2 linked regions of the Diceros bicornis minor genome follow. The protein of the gene in region 1 interacts with the protein of each later gene in a biochemical or structural test. Links are inferred from orthologs where the notes say so. Each region holds a gene or a part of one and is shown on either strand. Other genes may lie near its edges.

Region 1 (7,334 bases):
GGAGTCAGAAGTCTTATTGTAGTCCTGCCTATGATTTGATACATTGGCTTATAACCCTGGACAAATTATTCAATCCTTCTGAAAATATTTTCTTATGTTTAAAAAATAGGAGGCCCAGCCCAGTGGCATAGTGGTTAAGTTTGCATGCTCTGCTTCAGCAGCCTAGGGTTCACAGGTTCGGATCCCAGGCACGGACCTATGCACTGCTCGCCAAGCCATGCTGTGGCAGGCGTCCCACCTGTAAAATAGAGGAAGATGGGCACAGATGTTAGCTCAGGGCCAATCTTCCTCAGCAAAAAGAGGAGGATTGGCAACAGATGTTAGCTCTGGGTTAATCTTCCTCACCAAAAAAAAAAAAGGGATAATAATATTTGCTGATAAATGTATTGTGAGGATATAGCAAGATAACGGCTATCAAAGCACTCCAAAAATATTTCATCGTGATACAAATATAAAGCGTTATTTAACATTCATGGACTCATGCGTTTATGGCTTTCTGATACTGTATTTTTTGTGTTAACTGAGGTATGCTATTTAGGGTATCTGCTATGTTAGATACTTTCCTGTGCATTAGCACTATAGCTTTTCTCAAGAAGCTCACTTTACTAGCAAAAGGGAGCAAGAAATGATTAGAACAGGGCAGTGTGTGTCACTCTAATCCTCTGATTTGTTGCTAGTTCTAGCAGGTGATTGAAGTGTACAGATCACCTGAGATGTGATAGAAACTATAGCCATTGGTGGAGTAACAGGCTTGATTGTATAGCAATAAATGGCCTATGCCACTGTAAATGTCATTTTATCTTTATTCTCCTGTAGCATTCACAACTGAATTAAGAATGTCTCCTTTTCCTAGAAAATTCTCTTTGGAAATGTACAGTGAAGAGCACAGATATAATTTTAAGCAGAAGCAATTTCTAGTCATCTGGAAAACATTTGCAATGTAAGTGGTATTTGTTTCGAGAAAGAGTAGGCTTAAATTCCTTTTTTTCAGCCAATTTTAAGAACCTGAGAGTTAGAAACTATAGTAGTTTGGTTATGGTGATAGTGGTGGTAGTGGTGTTGATAGTGATGCTGTGCCTTTAAATGAGTTCTGCTCATTAATGCAAAAGTTAGTGCTTCTGTGTCACTACCTAAGAGCTGCACCTGCACACATCTAGCCTCTGAAGTTTGGGAGATGCCTGTATTCTTTATCCCGAGTGGAGATGCTATGCTTCTCAGGTTTAGTGGTTGTATTTGGGTTCTGGAGAGAAACAGAACCAATGGGATATACATATACACAGAGAGAGAGAGAGAGAGATTTATTTTAAGGCATTGCTTCACATGATTCTGGAAGCTAGTGAGTCTGAAATCTGTGAGGCAGAGCTGGCAGGTTGAAGATTCAGGTGAGAGTTGATGTTACAGTCTTGCGTCTGAAATCTGCAGGGCAGGCCAGCAAGCTGGAAACTCAGGCGGGGTTTCATTATTGTACTCTTGAGGCAGAGTTGCTTCTTTGGAAAACCTGTCTTTGCTCTTAAGGCCTTTATGTGAGTGGATGAGGCCTACCACATTATGGAGAGCAGTCTGCTTTACTCATAATTTACTGAATTAAGTGTTAATCACATCTAAAAAATAGCTTCATAGCAACATTTAGACTGGTGTTTGACCAAATAACTGGCAAAATAGCCTAGGCAAGTTGACACATAGAATTAATCATCACAGTGGACTTTGGCCTTCAAAGATCTAGTCAATGATTAGGGTTATCCAGAGCCTATCCATAGCATGTAGATAATCACATTATTTTCTGTGTAGATAATCAGTAACCAAACGTCTCAGAATGTGGGGTCCTGAGCTTCAATCTAATCCTAAGACATTATGCATTCATTCCTCCCACATAAGGGCTGCCAGCAGTCTCCAGCTCTTCTCCTCTTGAAGTTAGGGTTGATGTTCCTCTTTTGGCATCTTTTTGGCCAAGGGGCTACATTTTACCCCAGGTTCTACACATAACTGCTGTAATGGTGGTACAGATCCTGTGCAATCCCAGACCAGAGCCAGCAAAGCAAACTGCTCAGCCTCTAGAATTTAAACTCAGCCTGGAGTGCTAGGAAGTGCATATGATTCTTACCTCACTTTTCCTTGGCTGAAGCCCTCTTTGCAAATTTTTCAAGCATCATTCCTTCTGGTCCAGCTGCAATGTTTTTTGATTTTTCTTTAGAAGTGGTAGCTGGATCAACTTTAAAAAAATTCTGAAAGCGTTAGGAGGTCAGAGTAACTGCAGTGACCATCCATCCGTTTATCCAACTTCTGCTCTGCTGTTACCTAGTGCTCACTGTGTTGCCAGCATGAGCTCAGCAGGATCAGAAGAAATGTTTAGTTATGGTCCTCCTACTCTGGAAGCTTAAAATCTAGTTAGGGGACATGAAACTGACGCTTATAGAGGAGCTTCCCAAAGAGAAAACTTTTATCTGGCCAAATACCTGGGGTTCATTATTTTATGTTAACAACCTGAGGAGCTTTGCTTATTAACTGAAAGTTTTAGGCCACAGGCGTGAGCAGTTAGACTAGCTCATTGATTAGCCTCTTAGAAATGATCCATTCTTTGAGTTATCAGACCCCTAACTTAATTCAAGAAGGAAAGTTGAAGTCATTTGAAGGTAAAATGAAAAGATTAGGACTCTTCCTTCTATAAGGAAAAAGGATGATAAGGGAATATTTACTGAAGTGTGTAAAATCATAAAAGAGAGAAATTATACAAAACCAAAATAACTAATAATTTTATTACTCAGTTTACAATTATACATTCAAAAACATACTACTATCATTCTAGTCGGAAATATAATTTAATAAATCCCATGTTTCTATTTGGCCATGTCTTAACTGATTAAAAATACTGTTTAGAAAATTGTGATTGAAAACAGATTTATCTTAAGGAGTTTTTTTTTTTTTAAACAAAGTGCAAGTATATGTTTTACATATTTGCTTTTACTTAGGAAAAAAAAACTTACCTAGAAAAATACAACTTGGGTGTAGTACCATGTGGTGTAAACAACTGAACTATTTTACTTTACTTTCCTATGAATGAGCCAGTATATATTTATTACTGGAGTTCCAGCTATAAAATTCAGGTAAGGGGTTTAAATATACCCTAGAGTATTATTTAAAAATAAATTTGTTTCTTTCAAATAGAATGCCAACCTTGGTCCATGACATGTGGGGGAGAAATTAAAATATTAAACTTTTATTACCTAGTAAACTGAAAATAAAGTAAAGGTTAAATAAATACAAAGCAGAAAATATATATATACAAAATCACAACCTCTAAAAAGACAAACAGTCTACTGTTCTCTGCTGTGGGAGCTTTATCAACAGTAGTAGTAAGGAATTCCACCTCTAGGGCAGTGCTAGTACTCAAAAATGTAAACAAGTGTGTACTTTGTTTATATAAAGAAATACGCAGCATGGTTTTTATTTCTTTGTAGATATCAAACAGCTAAATGGATTGTTTCAAAGCACCAGTAGGGGCCAGCAAAGAGCTCCTAGAGTTTTTCAGAACAGAATTGGCATTGAGATATGTTTATTTGATGTGTTAAATCCTTTTTAGACTTCTTTACTTACCACAACACTCTTAAGTGAATGAATTGCAGAGACAGTGGAATAAAATATCTTGTGTGCTCAAACTACATTGGGGTATAGTTTTTCTGTCTAATCTGCATATATTTTTAATGGAATGTTTGCTTAGGCTGTTTTTTGGCAGAGTTGTGATAGTCAAAATATAAATGGCATCATTTAAAGACTGTACTACTTGGCTGGAAAAGGCCTTAAAATTACAGGAGAAAATGCCTGGTGACAGCTTCTCTTTAACTTTTTTTTCTCAGACGTGTGCTCGATTTTTGCAATTGTATTACTAGGCTAATTTTGTATTTCTATCCTTAAGCGTTCACTTTTTATAAGTAGTGTTTTGGAAGCTAAAATATTTATCTTTATCTATTTGATTTAATGCTAAAGTTTTAATTCACTCCAAAGTTTTGGTATTTCCAAATTTATACAACTATTTGAACTTACTCATTTAAAAAAAATTTAAGTCTATATTCCTTTCTACATTAACTAACTTGACTAGATTCCTAGTGTGGCTACTATTTGGAAATTCAATCCTTTATTTGATACTCAATTACATGGGGTTTCGTTCCTACCAACTTCCTGTAATTCTATCCCTATGGGTAAAAATATTAGTGGTCAAACTCAGCTGGAGAAAGTATAGGCACCGTGATTCACATGGTTAAATGTTCATTTAGTAGAGCTGGAGTGAAAAAATACTGTTTCAACTTGAAATGCTAGAAGATTGTTGTTCTTGTGTTACTCATTCATGCAAATTGGAGAAGGTATAATTGAAACAAGGTTGGCAGTGTTTGAGGCAGTGTGCTGCAGCTGAGCTCAGCTTAAAGGTCGCTGGAAATCAAGTGCTTTGTAAGTGAAGGCATTTTGACTACAAGCGATTCAAGACATTTTGGAAACGTCAGTCTCAGGAATGGGTCGTCTTTTTCTTTCTGTGATATCTGGTATCTAATGTTTTACTTAGGATAAAGACTACTACTTAAGAGCTCTTTTAGGCACCACAAATGATTTTTTCTTTCAGTGCAGTGCAGCTGCTTCTAGCCTGTCTACAGACAGAGATCTTTGTTATGACTTTTAGCCCTTAACATGTTTGGAAATGAGAACAAATGGCACAAAGCTTACGATTGCACTTTGCAGCCAGAAGAAGCAATACTTATCCTTTGTCAGAAACCTCCGGAGATGATTTGGATAGCAGTGTTCACATGTGCTTCAAAAGACCAACACGGATTTCAACGTCTAACGTTGTTCAAATGAAGCTGACTCCCAGACAGACTGCGCTAGCTCCGTTCTTAAAGGAGAACGTTAAGTCTCGGGAAAGATCATCTGTTCCTTCACCTGAAAATGTTAATAAAAAGAGCAGCTGTCTACAGATTTCACTACAGCCAACAAGGTACAGTGGATGTCTTCAGTCTAGCAATGTCTTAGCTGATGGCGATGATGCTTCATTTGCTTGTGTCTTGAAGGAAGGCATTTACAGCATTGCTGAGGTTGATAATGAACTGAATGCTGTGAATGATGGTAACCTTTTAGGCAGTTCTGCCATTTGCAGTGGTAGCCTTAGTAACTTTTCAGCCAGTGAGAATGGGTCTTACAGCAGCAACGGTAGTGATTATGGGTCATGCACGAGTATCACAAGTGGAGGTTCATACACCAACAGTATCCTCAGTGACAGCAGTGGTTATACTTTTACACCAACTGATGATACTTTTTTTGGTGGAAATTTATCTGCGGACAGCACCTCCAATAGAAGTGTGCCAAACAGGAATATTACTCCATGTGAAATTTTTTCAAGAAGTACAAGTACAGTTCCGTTTGTCCAAGATGACTTGGAGCATGGACTAGAGATTATGAAATTGCCAGTGAGCAGGAACTCGAAAATTCCACTAAAACGTTGTTCATCCTTAGTCATTTTTCCTAGGAGTCCTTCAAATACTCCACCAACTTCTCCAACAAATACAGGTACTCTTCCAAGCAAAGGATCCTATCAAACCTCACACCAGTTTATTATTTCTCCTAGTGAAGTTGCCCACAATGAAGATGGTACTAGTGCAAAGGGATTTCTTTCAACAGCTGTCAACGGACTTCGGTTATCTAAAACAATCTGTGCTCCTGGAGAAGGAAGAGACATACGACCACTTCACGGGAAGGGCTCATTACAAAAGAAAATGGTTGTTGCAAATAATAGTCCAAATCAGACTGTCTGTGAAAAGTCATCTGAAGGATATTCTTGTGTTTCAGTGCATTTCACCCAACAAAAAGAAACTACATTAGATTGTGAAACAGCAAATGGTGATTATAAACCAGAGATGTCAGAAATTAAGCTTAATTCTGGTTCAGAGTATATTAAGCTTATGCATAGAACATCTGCATGTTTACCATCCTCCCAAAATGTAGATTATCAAATAAATATCAATGGACAGTTGGAAAGACCAAATTCACAGATAAACAAAAACCATGCTATCTTACAAAGAAGTATTTCATTGGGAGGAACTTATCCAAATGTTTCCTGTTTATCCAGCCTTAAGCACAATTGTTGTAAGGGGGGACCATCTCAATTACTTATAAAGTTTGCATCTGGAAGTGAAGGTAAAGTTAATAATTTATCGAGAGACAGCAACAGAGATTTCGCAAATGAACTGTCTAATTCTTTGAAGCATTCTTGTGAGGTAAGTTTCCTCTGGTCTCAGTAAATATTAATTTATACTAGAATAGCTTTATGAAATATTTGTTTAAAATTTATTATAACTTAGTAGTTTTATATACTTTTCTGGTCCTTAGCTAGCAAATATTCTGTAGTCATGAATTTTATATTTGTAAATCTGAAGAATCCCCAATAGTTTTTCACTCTGTTATTTTACCAATATAGAAAATATGCATTAAAAAAAATAACTTTCCAAAGTGATTTAAGCCATAAAACATTTCTGTAGCATAAAAATAAGCTTTAAATAATAATTTATTTTGTAACATTTTACCTTGGTATATTTTTTAAGTGGCATAGTATTTTAATGTCTAACTCCATATTTATTCCTACTTTCAAAAATGCTCATTTGGTGTTCTCCCCTCCTTAATCATTGTGAAATAAAGTGAAATATAGGATGCTAATTTAAAATATTAAACAATAAAAAGCCCATATAAAAATGGGAAAAACTTGTTATAAATGAACATAGAGAAAGTGTTTCTCTAAAATACACGTATTTATTAGATTATTGATAAAAGCTATTATGCTGTATGTTTAAAGCAGAGGAAAAATAAATGGTATTTGCATTTGTATATACCTTAACCACAGGAATTTTGTTTCCACCCTATTTTTCTTTAGCTACCCGTTAGGACTGCTATCTAAAATGTAACTCACTCTTTGAAGGATATTGAATTCTAAATTTTATATTTTTCAATTTGGTTTCAATTGCTACGCATTTCCCCTAATTTTCTAGCTACCTTATAAATTTATTTTGATAATTTTGCTTTATTATATTAGTAACTTGACTCTAATGACTCTTAACTAGAACAGCTCTTTATGTAATTTGGCCTTTCCAGAGTATTTTAAGCGTTTTGAATTTAAATAGATTTTTTAAATTTCTGTATTTGGAAAGTCTTGCCAGATTTCAGGAAATTAAGAAATTTTTCTGACTAAACCAGTACTAAATGACAGTACCTAATAGTTTGGGGGAAAAAAACTTATCTGTGTTTATGTAACACTTAATATCTATATTAAAGATTTTTTTAAAACTTCTGGACAAGTAGCTTTA
Region 2 (7,027 bases), on another chromosome or scaffold:
ATATAAAGGAAAGTATTATATAGAAGAGTTCACTTCTTTGATGAGTTACCAAATATATTGTCTCATCTTTTCTCTGAAATGCAAATTTTCTCTCAAAGAGGACAAACTTTCATTTCAAAATGGGGTCATCCGTAAAAATAATTCCGGTCACGCAGCGGTTAAGTTCCACCACTCTGCTTTGGCAGCCCGGGGTTTGCAGGTTCAAATCCTGGGCGTGGACCAATGCACTGCTCATCAAGCCATGCTGTGGTGGTGTCCCACATACAAAATAGAGGAAGATGAGCACAGATGTTAGCTCAGAGCCAATCTTCCTCAGCAAAAAGAGGAAGATTGGCAACAGATGTTAGCTCAGGGCCAACCTTCCTCACCAAAAAATAAATAAATAAGTAAGTAAGTAAGTAAATAAATAAATAAAATTTCAGCAGTTTGAATCCAGAACACAGAAAAATTACTCCTAGAACAAAACCCAAATGCTCAGTGGGCCTAAAAGATTTCATTTGCGTATGAATTGGCTCTATCTCCATTTCCATTCAGCTATGTTCTCTTCTTGAGATAAGCAAATAACCAGTGTGACCTCAGAAATGATCCTTCTCTTGTCAAAGCCAACAGCATTCCTTAGACTTCCAGTCCTGGACAGCTGGAAGGGGCCAGAGAGGTCTAGCACCCTAAGGACAAATGAGGGAATGCAGAGCCATGATTCTGGACTGGGTGACAGAACGGGTAAGCACACAGTTGAGAATTTCGCCCAGTGCATCAGATTTCTAATCCATGCAATTTTGAGGTGGCTCTGCTGAGACACCCATCTTCAGGGAAATAACAACCGATGCCAATCCTCCTCTTTTTGCTGAGGAAGATTGGCCCTGGGCTAACATCCATGCCCATCTTCCTCTACTTTATATGTGATGCCGCCGCAGCATGGCTTGACAAGCAGTGCGCGCCCGGGATCCGAACCTGAGAACCCAGGGCCGCAGTGGCAGAGCGTGCGCACTTAACCATTGTGCCACCAGGCTGGCCCCTGCCCCCAATTTTAATTTGCCCGTTCCTCTGTCACCCAGTCCTGCTGTCATTTACCTTACTGTACATTGTCCTTGGTGTGGTTGAATGGGTCCTTAACAATTACCTGTCCACCTTGCTCTCTGCAGTGTTCATCTCTGCCCCCTTCCTGGTTTACCTGCCAGATGCAGGTGTTGCCTTGAGTGTCTCACAGTAACAAAACATTTTTGCATACCTACCAGAAGCCAGGACTGTATTTCAATAATTCAAAAAATTATATTTTTATATTTATAATTATTGATAACAATTTATCGTAATTGAATAAGCCTGAAATTTTACATTTGAATGCTTTAAAATACAATTATTTTACTTTTAAATTTATTTTGGATTTATTTGAAACATTTCAAACATTCAATAGAAGTAGGGAGAATAGTAAAATGGACAGCTTCGACAAATACCCACACTCTGCTAATCTTGTTTTATTTATCTCCCAGTTTTTGGGGAGGGGGCTGGAGTAATCGAAGATGAATCCTAGACATACTTTCACCCCAAATTCTTCATTATGCATCTCTAATAGATAAGCACTTAAAAAAAAAACATAACCACAATGCCATTATCACATCTAACAAAATTAATAATTTCTTAACATCTATATCAAGTCCACATTTTATTTCCCTGATTGTCTCAACAATGTCTTTTTAACAATTGGTTTACTCAAATCAGAGCCACACAAGATCTAAATATTGCATTTGGTCTACTAGGCATTTTAAAAGCTCTTATTTATAAGCATTGGACCTTCACATTAAACCAATGAAGAATGTGTGGTCCCAGTTCACAGGTTAGAGAGCTGGGGCTCAGAGAAGTTAAGAAACCTCCCCAAGGTCTCATTGCTGGTGGAGTCTAGACCCAGAGTTAAGGTCTGCCTAAGTCCAAAGATTTCCATTCTACTTCTTCCCCATCAGGCCACCAGAATTTTCCCTGTGTTGCAGGGAGGCAAGAGGGCTAGTGGTTAAGAGAGGATTTGGGCTCAGGTTGGCCTGGATACACATTGGAGCAAGTTATGTCATCTCTCTGATCCTCCACTTTTGTCTGCATCTGTAAAATAAGGATAATGAGGATGGTTTGGGGCTGATTAAATAGGATAAGGCATGTCTAGTCCTTAGCACAGTGCTTGGTCCATAGAAAGCACTCAATAACTGTAGAGGAGGAGAACGAACCACAAAGGGTTTGTTTGCTTTTGTCGGTAGCTCAGGAAACGGTGGTTCATCATTGTTAATACAACCTGTTTAGGATTCAGGCTGAAGGGGTGGGGAGGGCAGGGGTAGGGGTAGGAGTAGGGTGGTGATTCTGCCTGGATTGGAGAAGGGAGTCCTGGACATAAAGATTTAAATAGGCATCTGAGGGCTTCTCCCCAGGCCTCAGCTGGAAAACTGGTAGGTGGCAGAGAGGGTGGGAGGGAGACTTCTCTACGTTTATTCATTTATTGTAATTTTATTTATTTTTTCCCCCAAAGCCCCAGTAGATAGTTGTATGTCATAGCTGCACATCCTTCTAGTTGCTGTATGTGGGACGCAGCCTCAGCATGGCCGGAGAAGCAGTGCGTGCATACGCGCCCAAGATCCGAACCTGGGCCGCCAGCAGTGGAGCGTGGGCACTTAACCGCTAAGCCACGGGGCCGGCCCTCTACGTTTTTTAAAATTTGGAACCATGTGAATGCATTAAACATATCCCAAAAAATGAACTGCATTAAAAAGACTCTTTTACCATGGGGGTCAGTGCTGAGAATGGGAAGACTAGGACCTAATGATAATAATAATAATAATAATCCCTTTATACTTGTTGTAGCCCTAGGAGGGCTTCAGTTATACAAGGCAGGTTCTGCACCAGGATTGGGACTATTTCAGCCTGACTCTGATTTCAAAGATCCAAGGGAATATTTTAATCTCAGCTATCCTTCCTCTGACACTCATTCTAAGAGCCCAGAACCAGCGCTCACAGATTGGGGATTATTCACCCGGGGATTGTCTTCAAGCATATGCATTGTTGAGGGCTGAATCTATTGGCTAAATAAGGTCTTTGTATGTACTGTCTGTGCATGTATCTGCGCTTTCCCAGTTTTTTAGGCCATAGATCATCTTTGATGCTAAAATCACTTAAGACTCTGGGGCCTTGATTTTTCAGAGTCCTTAGGAAGGGAGGAGGTGCATAACCCCACTCACAAACAATCAAGAACTTGCCTAGACACTGTGCTAAGGCCTTTACATATATTAACTCACAATAACACTACACTCTAGGTACCATGATTCAGACTTTACAGGCAAAGAAACTGAACCAAACGAGGTTAAGAAATGTGCCCAAGGCCAGAGCTTGCAGGCTAACCAGTAGGCAATACTACCTCTCTGTTGGCAGTGGGCCAAGTATGTAGGGGTCCTTTGAAGGTGACACAAGCGTCCTTGGCTGTGTAGCAGCCATACCTTGGGTCCCAAATCCTTCCTTCTCAGCAACGTCTGGTTTAGCAGGAGGAAAGACCAGTGTGTGAACTTCTGCATTGGCCCTGGGTAATTTACTTTCTCCCTCTTAGCCTCAGGTTCCTTATCTGCCCCAGGGAGGAGCTTCAGATGAAAGACCTCTCCTTGCATTACCTGTGTGGGTGTGTGCTGGGGGTGAGAGGTGGAGAGGCTGAGGTTTCTGGCCGGTGCGCTGCTTTTCCCAGGTCTCTTGAGGAAACCGGGTTTTTGAGGTTCTGTCTCAGCCAACTCCCTCTCAGGAGGTCAAGGCTCAAGCTTGGCTATTCCTCCTCTGCTGGGAAAAGGGCCGCCACTGGGGCCAGCTCCGGCCACAGCCTGCCTGCCCTGAGGTCTAGGGTGGGTCTTTCTCCTCTGAGGGAGTTAGAGATGAGATTGTATCTTTAGGAAGGCCTCTTGGAGATAGTGACAGTTGAGTCCTGAAGGTCTAGCAGGAGTTAGTAAGAAGAGGTGAAGAGGGAAGGCTTAGCCTCCCCCCCCCCCCCCCCGTCCCCACACCACAGAACAAAGAAGCACCATCGGGCTTACAGTATAGGAGGAGCCGTGAGAGTGGAGAGGTCTGTAGAGGCGAAATCACGCGGGGCCTTCAGAGCTTGGCTTTATTCTAAGAGCAACTGGGAGGGGTTGGAAGGAGTGTAATCAGGAGTTTTAGAGAGACTCCTTTAGCCGCTTGGGAAGAATGGGTCCGAGGGAGGCAGGAGGCTATCACAGAAAGCAGTCGGGTTGGAAGATGACCGAGGACTGAGGAAAGGCGTGGGGGGCGGGGACTGAGCATCTGAGCCTTTCTCGGTCCCCGCGACACTGTGCGCTGTCCCTCGACTTTCTTTGCTTGTATGGAAGGGCCCCGTAAAGGGCTGGGCACCGGCCAAACGCTCATTGAGCGAAATAGCCCAGACTTCCCTCCTCTTTCGGGGGCCTTCTGGTCCAGGTGCCCCAGAATTGGGAGGCTTATGCGGGAAAACTTACCACTGCTGAAGATGGAGAACCGTTACCCCTCAAAATACACAAAAACCTCGGCCGCTTTTGGCAGCATTCTCCTCCGCCCATGACCTCATGCTTTAAGCTCCCATATAGCCTTCCTCCGCCCTGTCCACACCCAGCGCCTGAATGGGGGTGGGGCGCGGGACAGTGGCGAAGGTCCGGATAGCGAAAGCACCTTGTGTATCCCGCGCGAGATTTGGAGGAAGGGGCGCAACGATTTCCCTGCACTGAGAAAAAGCATGGTTTAACTTTCCTTTGAGAAAAAACCTCGCTGTCTTGTGGGCCCTCCATGAGATAGACGCCTCGAACCCGGCTGGAGGTGGTCTGTTTAGCCGAACCATCTTTGGTTCACGTTTCCTCGGACCAGGAAAGAGGTGTGGGGTCCCGGGCTGGACAGATGGGCGGCCGCGCCTTCGCGGGACCTGGGGGCTGTCCTGCTCTCACCCCCCTGGCGCCGCCGAGGTTTGAACCCTTGGCTCGCCTTTCAGCCCGCGCCCTGCCCCCTGCTCGCAGCTGCTCTCGGTTTGGGTGCAGCGGTTTCCCCCGCAGAGGAGAAGGAGGAGACAGCGCAAGGAGCGACTCCCGGCTCGGGTTTCCGCACCAATGCCGAGCAGCCCCGGGCGGCCCCCGGCGGCCGTCCCTCCTCCCCGGCACCACGTTCCACAGTCATGGCGCGCGAGGAGGGGCGAGCGCGCGCCGCGGCGGCACCCGCGCCCCCTTCCCTCCCCTCCCCTCCGCCGCCCGGCCCCGGCCCCTCTCCTAGGCAACCTCCCTCCCCGGCCTGCTGCGCCGCCGAGATGGAGACCCCTCCCCAGGGAGCGGCATTTCCAGCGCCGTATGCAGCACCCCCTCCCCGCCCCCATCGGGGCGGAGGGAAGAAGCCGCGCGCTCCGCGAACCTCCAGCTCCTTCCCCGGAGCCTCAGCCCCTCTCCCAGCCCCACCGAGGCCGGGGTGCAGTGGGGGGTAGGCGCAGACCGTCTCCCCGCAGCCCCCCTAGAATTTGGCTTCTTTGCAACCCCTTTAAAAAAATAAAGAAATCCCCAAACCCTAGTCATCAGATTGCAAAGCGCGTTACAATAACCGGGACGGCTACGCAGGAAGCAATCCTGCACTGGTACGGGTCTAAGACGGCAGCTTCCCGGCCAAGCCGCTTCTCCGGGGCCTCAATTTTCCGGCCTCCCCGGAGAGTCTGCCACACCCCGGGGCTGACAGGTCCTACACGGGGCTGCAACTCGGTCCGCGCCCCCCGCCCCATCCTTGAACAGAGTCTCGCCAGCCTACAAAAGGTGCAATCTCACGCACTTGCAGAGCACACAAATAAGGTCGGCAGCGCATCGCGGGGAAGGCTGCTAACAATGCGCAGGGCAGCCTGCGCCGGAGCGCGGCGCCCCGGGGAACAGGGGGCGCGGGCGGGGGCCGCGGCGGAGGACCGGCCGGCCGCGGCGCTGGACACCTTACTTCCTGCTTCCCCGCCAGACCCAGCTCTGCGGAGGGATATCTCTCCCCTCCTCTGTCCCTCTCTCTCCCTTCCCCCGGCCTCCCCCCTTTTTGCTTCTGCTCCCCCCCCCACCCCGCCTTTCTCCTTTTGCAAGAAAATAATTTGACAGTCGATTTGCTGACAGGGGAGGAATTTGCATCCTGGATTAAAAAAAAAAAAAGGCCGAGAGGAGCTTGGGAACGGTTGCTAGGGGTGGGTAATGGTTGAAAAAAGGGGGGCGCCGGGGAGCGGATAAGGAGGGTTAAGGGAGGGGGCAAGGGTGGGGAGCAATGCAAAAGGTAAGGCCAGGTTACCGCGGCTCGGCCCCGAGTGGGCTACGGCCGGGGGAGGGGCAAGAGATACATATGTATTTCTGTCTCCCTAGCACACCCCCTTCCCTCTAAGCGATGGCTGAGAGGCGGTGCATGCAGATGGGGAGTAAGTTTCCTGAAGGGGAGGGTGGATGCACGCGCGCGGCCCCGCGCTGCAAATTTCCACCGGGGAGGGAGAGTGGCTGGATGCGGAGAGTTTGGAGTTGCTTGCGGCGGAGGGCAGGAAGGGGAGCAGGGCCGGGAAAGGGGGCTGGCGGGCGCTATTTCTGGGAGTAAGTTTCCAGGATCAGGAGAGCCTGCACGCTAGCTCGCTAGTAAGTTTCTGGCCGGGGAGGGCGCGAGGGGAGGAGGAGAGGGAGGGGTGCATGTATATAGAAGGGGGGGAGGGGGGAGCAGATTTCCTGCGGGGAGGTTGAATGCATATGGAGAGTAGATTTCCTGGAGGGAGGTTGGAGGCGTAGACGGACCGAGTAAGTTTCTTGCTGGGGTGGTAGCAGAGGCGGTGGGTTGGTGCTTTGGAAACCGGGAGCTTCCTACCGGGCGTGGGGGAGCACGCTATTGGGTGGAGGGGGGGCGAAGGGCCAGGTTCCCTACTGGGGAGAGGGGCTTGCATCTGGGGAGTATGTTTCCTGGCGGAGCGATATTTGTTTACAGGCTGAGGGCAGTACTGTAAGTGAGTAGCGCTTCGAGAAGGCGGCTCTGACATAAATTAATATTG

Evidence for each region. The genes of interacting proteins can lie anywhere in the genome.
Region 2: the proteins of NEDD4 (region 1) and TRERF1 interact in a test that uses a peptide from one of them, tested with the Homo sapiens proteins (2 studies listed by BioGRID and IntAct, with this or other methods). The link is inferred for Diceros bicornis minor from reciprocal best matches to the Homo sapiens genes NEDD4 and TRERF1.

The regions. Positions count from the first base shown.
Region 1 is NC_080744.1:51,373,403-51,380,736, reverse strand, and holds the start of NEDD4 (E3 ubiquitin-protein ligase NEDD4), read left to right. Parts: upstream 1-4,318; 5' UTR 4,319-4,694; coding exon 4,695-6,254; intron 6,255-7,334. UniProt on the Homo sapiens protein: E3 ubiquitin-protein ligase which accepts ubiquitin from an E2 ubiquitin-conjugating enzyme in the form of a thioester and then directly transfers the ubiquitin to targeted substrates. Specifically ubiquitinates 'Lys-63' in target proteins.
Region 2 is NC_080753.1:23,087,150-23,094,176, forward strand, and holds the start of TRERF1 (transcriptional-regulating factor 1), read left to right. Parts: upstream 1-4,003; 5' UTR 4,004-4,075; exon of another isoform or gene 4,076-5,150; intron 5,151-6,068; exon of another isoform or gene 6,069-6,190; intron 6,191-6,321; exon of another isoform or gene 6,322-6,415; intron 6,416-6,423; exon of another isoform or gene 6,424-6,623; intron 6,624-6,760; exon of another isoform or gene 6,761-6,779; intron 6,780-7,027.